2 linked regions of the Arabidopsis thaliana genome follow. The protein of the gene in region 1 interacts with the protein of each later gene in a pairwise test. Each region holds a gene or a part of one and is shown on either strand. Other genes may lie near its edges. The genes, in order: LBD35 and AT4G23860.

The links.
Region 2: the proteins of LBD35 (region 1) and AT4G23860 interact in a two-hybrid assay, tested with the Arabidopsis thaliana proteins (one large-scale study listed by BioGRID).

The regions. Positions count from the first base shown.
Region 1 is NC_003076.8:14,026,826-14,030,169, forward strand, and holds LBD35 (LOB domain-containing protein 35), read left to right. Parts: upstream 1-1,856; 5' UTR 1,857-1,873; coding exon 1,874-2,494; 3' UTR 2,495-2,601; downstream 2,602-3,344. Other genes in the region: AT5G35910 (Polynucleotidyl transferase, ribonuclease H fold protein with HRDC domain-containing protein), read right to left, coding at 3,046-3,344.
Region 2 is NC_003075.7:12,407,161-12,412,455, forward strand, and holds AT4G23860 (PHD finger protein-like protein), read left to right. Parts: upstream 1-1,846; 5' UTR 1,847-2,005; intron 2,006-2,134; exon of another isoform or gene 2,135-2,137; 5' UTR 2,138-2,175; coding exon 2,176-2,259; intron 2,260-2,373; exon of another isoform or gene 2,374-2,623; coding exon 2,624-2,782; intron 2,783-2,881; coding exon 2,882-3,154; intron 3,155-3,241; coding exon 3,242-3,994; intron 3,995-4,086; coding exon 4,087-4,176; 3' UTR 4,177-4,518; downstream 4,519-5,295. Other genes in the region: LACS4 (AMP-dependent synthetase and ligase family protein), read right to left, coding at 1-26, 103-159, 277-366, 455-518, 949-1,103.

The sequences.
Region 1 (3,344 bases):
TGTTTATTCCTACCAAACATATGACTATGTTTTCGTAGGAAATTGGAAAAGTTGGTCCCAATGGCGGACCCATGTGGTGAAAAGAGGGGTCATTTGACACCCTTTAGTTTTAAATCGGGAAAATTCCCGAAAAAAACCCAACTTATTTAAAATCTGCCAGAAAACTACCTAAACCCGTTTTAAATAGTTTGAGATTTTTAGGAAATTTTCCGGTTTAAATCTTAAATAGTTTTCATCTTGTTTCGGTGACTGATTTGGTATGAAGCTACAATTTTGACCCCCACCCCCACCCCCCCACACAAATGCAGGATCGATTCCCGTTGTTGCCATTTTTTCTCATATATTTTATTGGGCCGTAGCCCATATATTTTGTTGTCACCGTTTCTTTTGTCAGATTCTTCTAATATTACATTCAACTTTCCAAAACTATAAATATACCAATTTTTCTATATCTTATTTGACCCAGATAAAAAAATTCCTTAGTCCGCGTCCTAGTAATTTCCTACCAAATTCCTTCAATATAGTTTTCATAGGGAATTAAAAGGATATTTTCCGACCCAATTCTTATCATTTCTTTTCCCATAAATTTCTTTCTAATCTCCTACAAATTTTCCTTCAACTATATATTTTGTAGAAATTTCGTATAACTTTCTCACGATAAGTTTCGTATGAAAATTTTCTACTAATTTCCTACAAAAACTGTTTTCATAACAAATCGTAGAGATATGGTAGGAAATATTTCATATCTTTCATCTACAAAATCTGTTTTCGTAAGAAAATCGTAGAGATATGGTAGGAAATATTTCATATCTTTCATACCAAATTTTTCGTAGGAAAATAGGTAGTATTTCACCATGTTTTCTTGTAGTATATAAAGTTTTTGTGATGGGGGTGATGGATATCGTTTGAACAATTTTTTTCTTTTGGTATGCCATCACTTGTGGAACCCTTATTTCTAGATATTTTGAAAATTCAAAAGCATGATTCTGGTATTGATTTACATATCTAGATCTCAAATTATGTAGAAAATCAAAAGTAATTACGGAAAGGCTTGTCGATTTGGCGATAAAGGCGGAAATTAGGGTTTTTGTTTTTGTTTTTGTTTTTACTTTGGTTAGCCGCTCAGTAAATATGAACAGAACAAGACCGAACAAATAACCTATTGCATATACAATTGTTGCCAATCGGTTTTGATCTCATTACTCAAACCGATTCAAACACCAAAGATCTTGGTTTGGTTTAGAAACTTCGGTTTGGTTAGGTTTTGTCAATAGAAAGTCACTTAGTCAATGCATTGAAAAAGATTTTCCTTTTTTAAGAATTTTTTTTTCATTAGCTTGCCAAAAGAATGAAGTGTTTTAGTCAAAATCTATCAAACTCCTATTTAATTATTTAGGTAAGTTGACAATGAATCCATTAATTATCAATTGAACTTCCTGTATATGAGTTTTCTCCATAACTAGTAATAATTTGATAGATTTGACTTGACTACTTCATTTTATTATCTTGCCAAAAGAATGAAGTATGTATTAGTCAAATCTATTATATTATTACTAGTTATCTAGAAAAAAGCATAAACAAGAAATCAAACTGATATTTATTGGATTCATTGCTAACTTACCTAAATAAGTAAAATTACAACTTGAATAATGTTTCAAGGCTTGACTATAAAACCCACACAACCATTTTTTACCATAGCACATCAACCACATTTATTGGACCTTAATTCTTTTGTGATATCAGAATATTCAAGATTCTTGAGGTAATCATATTGTTAATATACAGAAAATATGCATATATAAATTTTTTGGATGATTTTATTCTCATATATGTTTTTTGGTTACTAGGTAAGCGAGAAAAAAAAAGAAGAAGAATGAATTCCACATGTTGCTCTGCATGCAAGGTCATGAAATGTGATTGTGCTCCTAATTGTATATTTGCACCACATTTCCCATTGACCAATCTCGAAACTTTCGAACGCCTTCACAGAATATTTGGAGCGGGTAATGTCTTCAAGATCCTAGCTAATCTGGATCCTATCCAACGTGAAACTGCTGTAAACGCTTTGTGTTACGAGGCCGAGGCTCTTGAACGTGACCCCATATTTGGTTGTGTTGGCATCTTTAACCACTACAAAAATCAGCTTCAAAATTTAGATGAACAAATCAATTCTGCAAAGAATGAGCTTGCAGCCATCATTGGACTTGATAACGTTCCGCAATATTCAAGTATTCCTATGCCAGCTGATTTTTTGACTAATAAGTTTTCTTTACATCCTTATATTGAAAAGATGGAGGGACTAGATGAGGTTCAAAAGAAGGAACTTATGCAACTACCACCTGTTGATGCGCAAGTTATAGTGAATGAAATGTTTAGGAAGAGAGGAAATATAAAGATATGTGGTGGTCATGGGGATGCATGCGCATCAACATCTGGAGGGACCAGTGCAACTCAGAAGACCCTTCCATTTCCTCAAAACCATAACCAACCATAGTTCTAATTAAATGTCTTTTGTGTTTATTTTATTTTTGCATCTCAATTCCCATAATAATTTGGTGTCATTTCCTTTGTTTTATATCATTTCGTCAGAACTTCATGTAATATTTCGGTTGTTTTATCAATTTGAACTTCAAATAATGTTTCGTTTTATTTTGATTAGTCTATAACCATATTACATTTGAAGATCATTTAAAACATATAGATTATTTGATCAATCAGATGAGAGATTAGCTTCAGTTTTCGAAAGATAAAACTTGAGAATGAAAGTTGAGTAAAACAATTGACTGGAACAAGAACTTTACTACTTCAAGCCAGACACTAAACTAGATATATATATAAAAGCACAAGGAGACTGGTTCATAATCTTAACTATGAATCAGATTTGATGGTTTGAGCTAAGAGTTTGTATCCCTAAGTCCCATCAAAGTTTGAGTTATGAAGTTGATAAAATGAAAACGATCAAAACATAAAATTCACCATAGCCCACAACCAAAACAAATAAATGATCTTAAACAGAACCATCAATCAATATTGACTGCCAGAAGATCAATTTTTAAAGGACATACTTCGGTTCCCGGATGCCGGAAAAGCTTGACGCCGTTTTCCTTGACCAAACTCTGACTGCTCCTGTGTAGACCCCTTCTTCTGACCTGCTGCAGCTTCTCTCTTTCCTTGTCTTCCCTTGTGTCCTTCCCCAAATTTCACCTCTTTCCTTGCAGCTTCATAATCAAAAGGCTCTATGTTTAAAAACTCGGTCTGCTTTTGGGCCTTCTTGCTCTTATTCATGGATTTAAAGCACTTCTGAAAGTTTGTGGACAACTCCGAGAGAGACATTGGTTCATCTT
Region 2 (5,295 bases), on another chromosome or scaffold:
CAATAGAGTCCATGTGCATTACAAGCCTACATCAAAAGTGCACTGTCAGTCCTCTAACAAAACACAATCAATGACATAATCATGATTCAGCCGCAAAATTACCTCCATGCTGATAATCCACTCAGGAGAATTTGCACCATAGATACCACATTTTGCTTCCTAATATCCCACATATCAGGAAACACAAGATTAAGCAAGGGAATAATCACATTGCGACAAAAAAAGGAAATAATGAGACTGAATATAGATATCTGAAAGGAAAAAGATGGATCTTACGTCCTTAACTCCAACACTTCTGAGAGAATTTCCAAGTTTCATGACAATGTCGTAGACTTCTTGGTATGTTTGCCAGACATACTTACCCGGCTAAGAACAATCAAAATAACAAGTGAATTTTATAATAACATGAAACGAAAATCACAAAATCAAAATCAATAACAAACAGTAACAACACCTTTCCATCTACAATCTCGCGGCGTCCCAGCATTGGATTGTTTGGATACTTCTCAACAGACATGCTGCAATAAACAATAACAGTAGAAAAATGTAAGTCAACAACCACAAAATATCACCAAACCACACACAAAGCAAAACAAAAAATGTCAACCAAATTCATGCAACTGTTAATTAATCACATGCCACTCAAAACGATGTTATTATAGACAAATGGCAAAATCATTAACCAACAAATTATATTTCTATCGATTAGAGCAACTTAGGTAGATCTTGCGATCCGAAAAACTTAAACAAACATGAATCAAATCCAGATAAACACTAGACGAAATTAAACTATACGATTCTTACTACTTGAGAATCCATAAAGAGCAAAAAACGCAAGTCAGAACAAATTCCATGATCAGTCAACAGATCAAGGATCAAAATCTCAGCAAGAATCGGAAACGAGGCTCATGCAACACAAACTCCGATCGGTTAAACGAGAAATCTCACCGGAAAACATCCCAACAACTATCCATTCCTTCGATCGGGTCGGGAAATCCGTCCTTGGCAAAGATACTCCGGTACACTGGACCAACTGATGGTCTTCCATCGCTACCTTCTTTGCCTTCTTCAACTTGGAAGATGTATTTCTTCTGCTGCGACATGATCTCTCTCTCTCTCTCTCTACTTCGTTCTCGTTCTCTTCTCTCTCTATCTGTAGAACGAGAAACTTCTGACGCGTTTTCTCAGATCGGAGAAGAAGTTAATAGAGACTTTCAACTACGACTGCGATTGGTTGCTACTCACTGACCATAAACCTGAAAAAGTCAAAGTCATATTCAACCTCTTATTGGGCCGTATACGTATCATCATATTAGGCCCAATAAAGTCATATTATCCAAATTGAAATTTATATTAGCCAATATTTAGATTTTATAATTAAGATGTCAAGAAACAAAACAAAAAGTGTGTGATTTTGATTTAAATAACTTTAGATTTTATCAATATTTTATCCCCCAATTTAATTTTTTTTTTAGAGGTTATCAATTAATCTACGATAATTAAAAATATGCTTATTACTCTATTAGTATGTGTGTTTGTGGATAGATTTGACTAGTTGCACACAGATATGATATTTGTTAAACATTAGTTATCAAAACAAAAAAATAAATATAAATTTTCAATTCATAAAAAACCATATAAGCAAGAATTTGAGATTTTGATATCCGTTTAATCTCGATACAAATTAATATTAACATGTACATTATCAAGTAACAATACTTATCTTGTGCTTATGCTTAGTTGCTGATAGTGGAGGGAAAAGGGTAATAGAATTGGAGGGTTAATGGCGGGAAAATGTCGATAAAGTCCCTTCCTTTATATAACATACATAAATTTTCTCGCATTTAAGAATTTTAACATCCGCTAGATCCTTCTTTCTTCCAAACCCTTAAGCTCCACCTTCGTTTTCCCCAATTTCTCTCTCTCTCTGCCTTCGTTTATCTATGTCTTGAAAAGTGAAAAGCTTTAGGGCTTTTACAAGTCTGAGAACTCCATCAATAACCTGGTAATGGTCCGATTGACATGTTTGATGTTTTGCGAATAATCTAGGGTTTCATTTTTTTTAAGGAATTTAGGGAATATCTCGTTTGAGTCTTTCGAATAGCTTTTATTTTACCCAATTTCATGTTTTTAGTAGTGAATTCAGGTGGGAATTTGTGAAGAATAATTGCGACAATGGCATCTGGTGTTTTCGAGGATGAAGCTGAAGGAACTATAACGATCAATGAATATATCGAAAGGCTTGACGCAGAAGAGCTGGTAATGTTCTCTTTCTCCTCTTGATCAGTTTTAAAGCTTATGTATGTTTCTGATCCTTACGAAAGTTTAATACTCTTCCACATTTTCACTCCTTGGTTGGTGATAAATCGTTTAGATTTAAGTGTAAACAAACGTCTTGAAATTGGATTCTGACCTTAAATTGACTACCTTTTCTGAAGCTAGTGGAGTGTGTTGGATTGTTATTGTACAGTCTCTGAGGTTTTGGCTAGCTAGTAATGATAGTGTGTGTCTCTTAATTAGTTTCTATTAATTTCAGTAGTGTGTATCTGTTTCTGTAATCCTATGTTATTTGGGTTTAGGGGTTTAATATTCATTAACTGCTTTTGTGATTCTTGATGTTAAGGCAGCGGATTTGGTGTTGGGTGGAGATGAAGGAGATGAGTGTACTTTCCCAAAGGGTTACATGAAAAGGCAAGCAATTTTCTCATGCATTACATGTACACCAGAGGGGAATGCTGGAATTTGCACTGCTTGTTGCTTATCTTGTCATGATGGCCATGAGGTAAATATGGTTGATATATAGCCAGGTTATGTATTTTGAAATCTGATTTCATAGTGTTAATTGGTTTCCTAATGGTTGAACATTGTTCTGGTTATGAAGCTTTTGGAGCTGTGGACTAAGAGAAATTTTCGATGTGATTGCGGGAACTCAAAGTTTGGAACTTTGGCTTGTAAGCTTCTCCCGAGCAAAGATATAGAAAACTCTGAAAATTCTTACAACCATAATTTCAAAGGCTTGTACTGCACTTGCGACCGACCTTACCCTGACCCAAATGTGGAAGAACAAGTAGAGATGATTCAGTGTTGTCTCTGTGAGGATTGGTTTCATGAGGAGCATCTCGGTCTCACACCTTCAGACAGTGTTGGTAGCCAGGTTTGTGGCCAGTGCTTAATCTTGTTGTTTACGATTGATTTTTTTTGTTGTTGGCGCTTAGTGCAATTTGTTATGTGATGTTAACAGATTCCAAGGGATGAGGAAAGTGAGCCGATCTATGAAGATTTCATTTGTCAAAACTGCTCCCCAGCATGTTCGTTTCTGACACTTTATCCTGAGAACTTGTGGGTTGTTGCTAAAGTAGATTCCACTGGTTCTGCTAATGCTTGTTCAGAGACAATTGAGTTAGACAAAAACCACATGGATTCTGAACCCGGCCAGCCAGAGAACGGTACTGATGCTGAGAAATCTGTTGTAGGAAAATGTTCTGAGACGATCAGTGACTCAGAACCTGGCCAGCCTGAGAACGGCACTGAAGCCGAGAAATCTGTTGTGCAAAAATGTTCTGAGAAGATCGATGAATCTGAAGCCGGCCAGCCTGAGAACAGTACTGAAGCCGAGAAATTCGTTGTGCGGAAATGTTCTGAGAAGATCGATGGCTCTGAAAATGTTCCTGCAGCTGGTTGTGTTATTAGGACTGATCTAAACTCGTGTCCTGAGTTTGAGAAGAAACCTTTGTTTTTGACCAAAAACTGGAGGAACATCCTATGCAGATGCGAAAAGTGCCTTGAGATGTATAAGCAGAGAAAGGTAAGCTATCTACTTGATGCAGAGGACACAATTGTTGAATACGAGAAGAAGGCGAAGGAAAAAAGAACAGAGAAACTGGAGAAACAAGAAGGTGAAGCACTTGATCTTCTGAATAATCTAGACCACGTATCCAAAGTTGAGCTCCTTCACGGAATCAAAGACTTCCAAGACGGACTCCAGGGTTTAATGGTATATATTGTCACCATCTATGAAAGAAATTTGATTACAATTCTCAGGAACCACTTCATTTAAAAAGACTTGATTCGTTGTTGGTTTTGTAGGAGTCTGCTGGGCCATCAAAGGCGATAACTTCTGCAGATATCGAGCAAATGTTTTCAAAACTGAAAAACAAACGTAAAAGGATGGAGTGAGAGGAGTTATAAAGGTAGTAAGTCTTTCTTTCGACATTTCATGTTAACTTTTTTTAGATATATGTTGTTTCGTTGGTTTGAAATGAAGAATGAGGAGGTTTCTTTCCTCTTCCTCTGCTCTTGTCTGTCTTTAGTTTCCTAAGTAATGCAACCAACTTTTTACTTTAGTGCATGAAGTTTGTAGCTTATGAAACAGTCGACTACTATATATAATAAGCTACTAGTTCTAGAACTACTATTTACTTTTATCTTTCCAACTATTTTTATATGAATTTAGTAAATACTCTTATCTTCATAATGTGTCTTGGACTCGGAAATACTTTGAGCATGCTAAAAGGAGAGCTTTTTATCGTCTTTTATTATAACCAACGATGCCCCATTGTCAAAACAACTCATTAACAGAGAGAGAGCCAAAAAGGTAAGGAACAGAGCAACAATTACACATCGGTAATGTCTTGCGACATACTAAGGAAGTCGAAGATCATCAATTACACATTTCGCAATCTCATGTGCTCTTTTGTTGGATGTAGGAGATTGTTAATATACCGCTTTGTAACTCCGGAAGCTCCTTTAAGAAGCTCTATGGAGCATGCTAAAAGAAGAGCTACTACAAACTACACACGCAAAGTAAAAAACTATTATAAATTGGGCCTTCTAAAGTACTAAGAATTAGGTTTTGGGCTTCGGAAAACCAAATTCAGTTTACATGTGAGGTCATCATGTTTTTTGTTATGACAAAAATTAATTAAATAGTATTGTAGGCCTGACCAAAAAAAAAAAAAAAGTTTGCCAGAAATCACTTAACCGAATATTAATTCTAGGTCAGTTATTACTTATTAGTGTTTTTTTGTTGTCGACATGAGTTATTGTTGTTTTTAAGAAAATATAGATCGAAGTTGGAAGCTCGTGAGTGTTGGGCCCTTAGAGTAACGACAGCCCCCGTGACACCACCACGTACTTGTGTTGTCCTTTTGTAAATTTCCACGAAGTTTCGTTTCGATAAGAAGAATTTGATAACGATCCAATTATTGTATTACGCGTAGTGCTTAATGATAGGATCATCTGATATGATCGCGCTTCTTAATGACATTTACGTCTACATGTAAAATATCATGAATT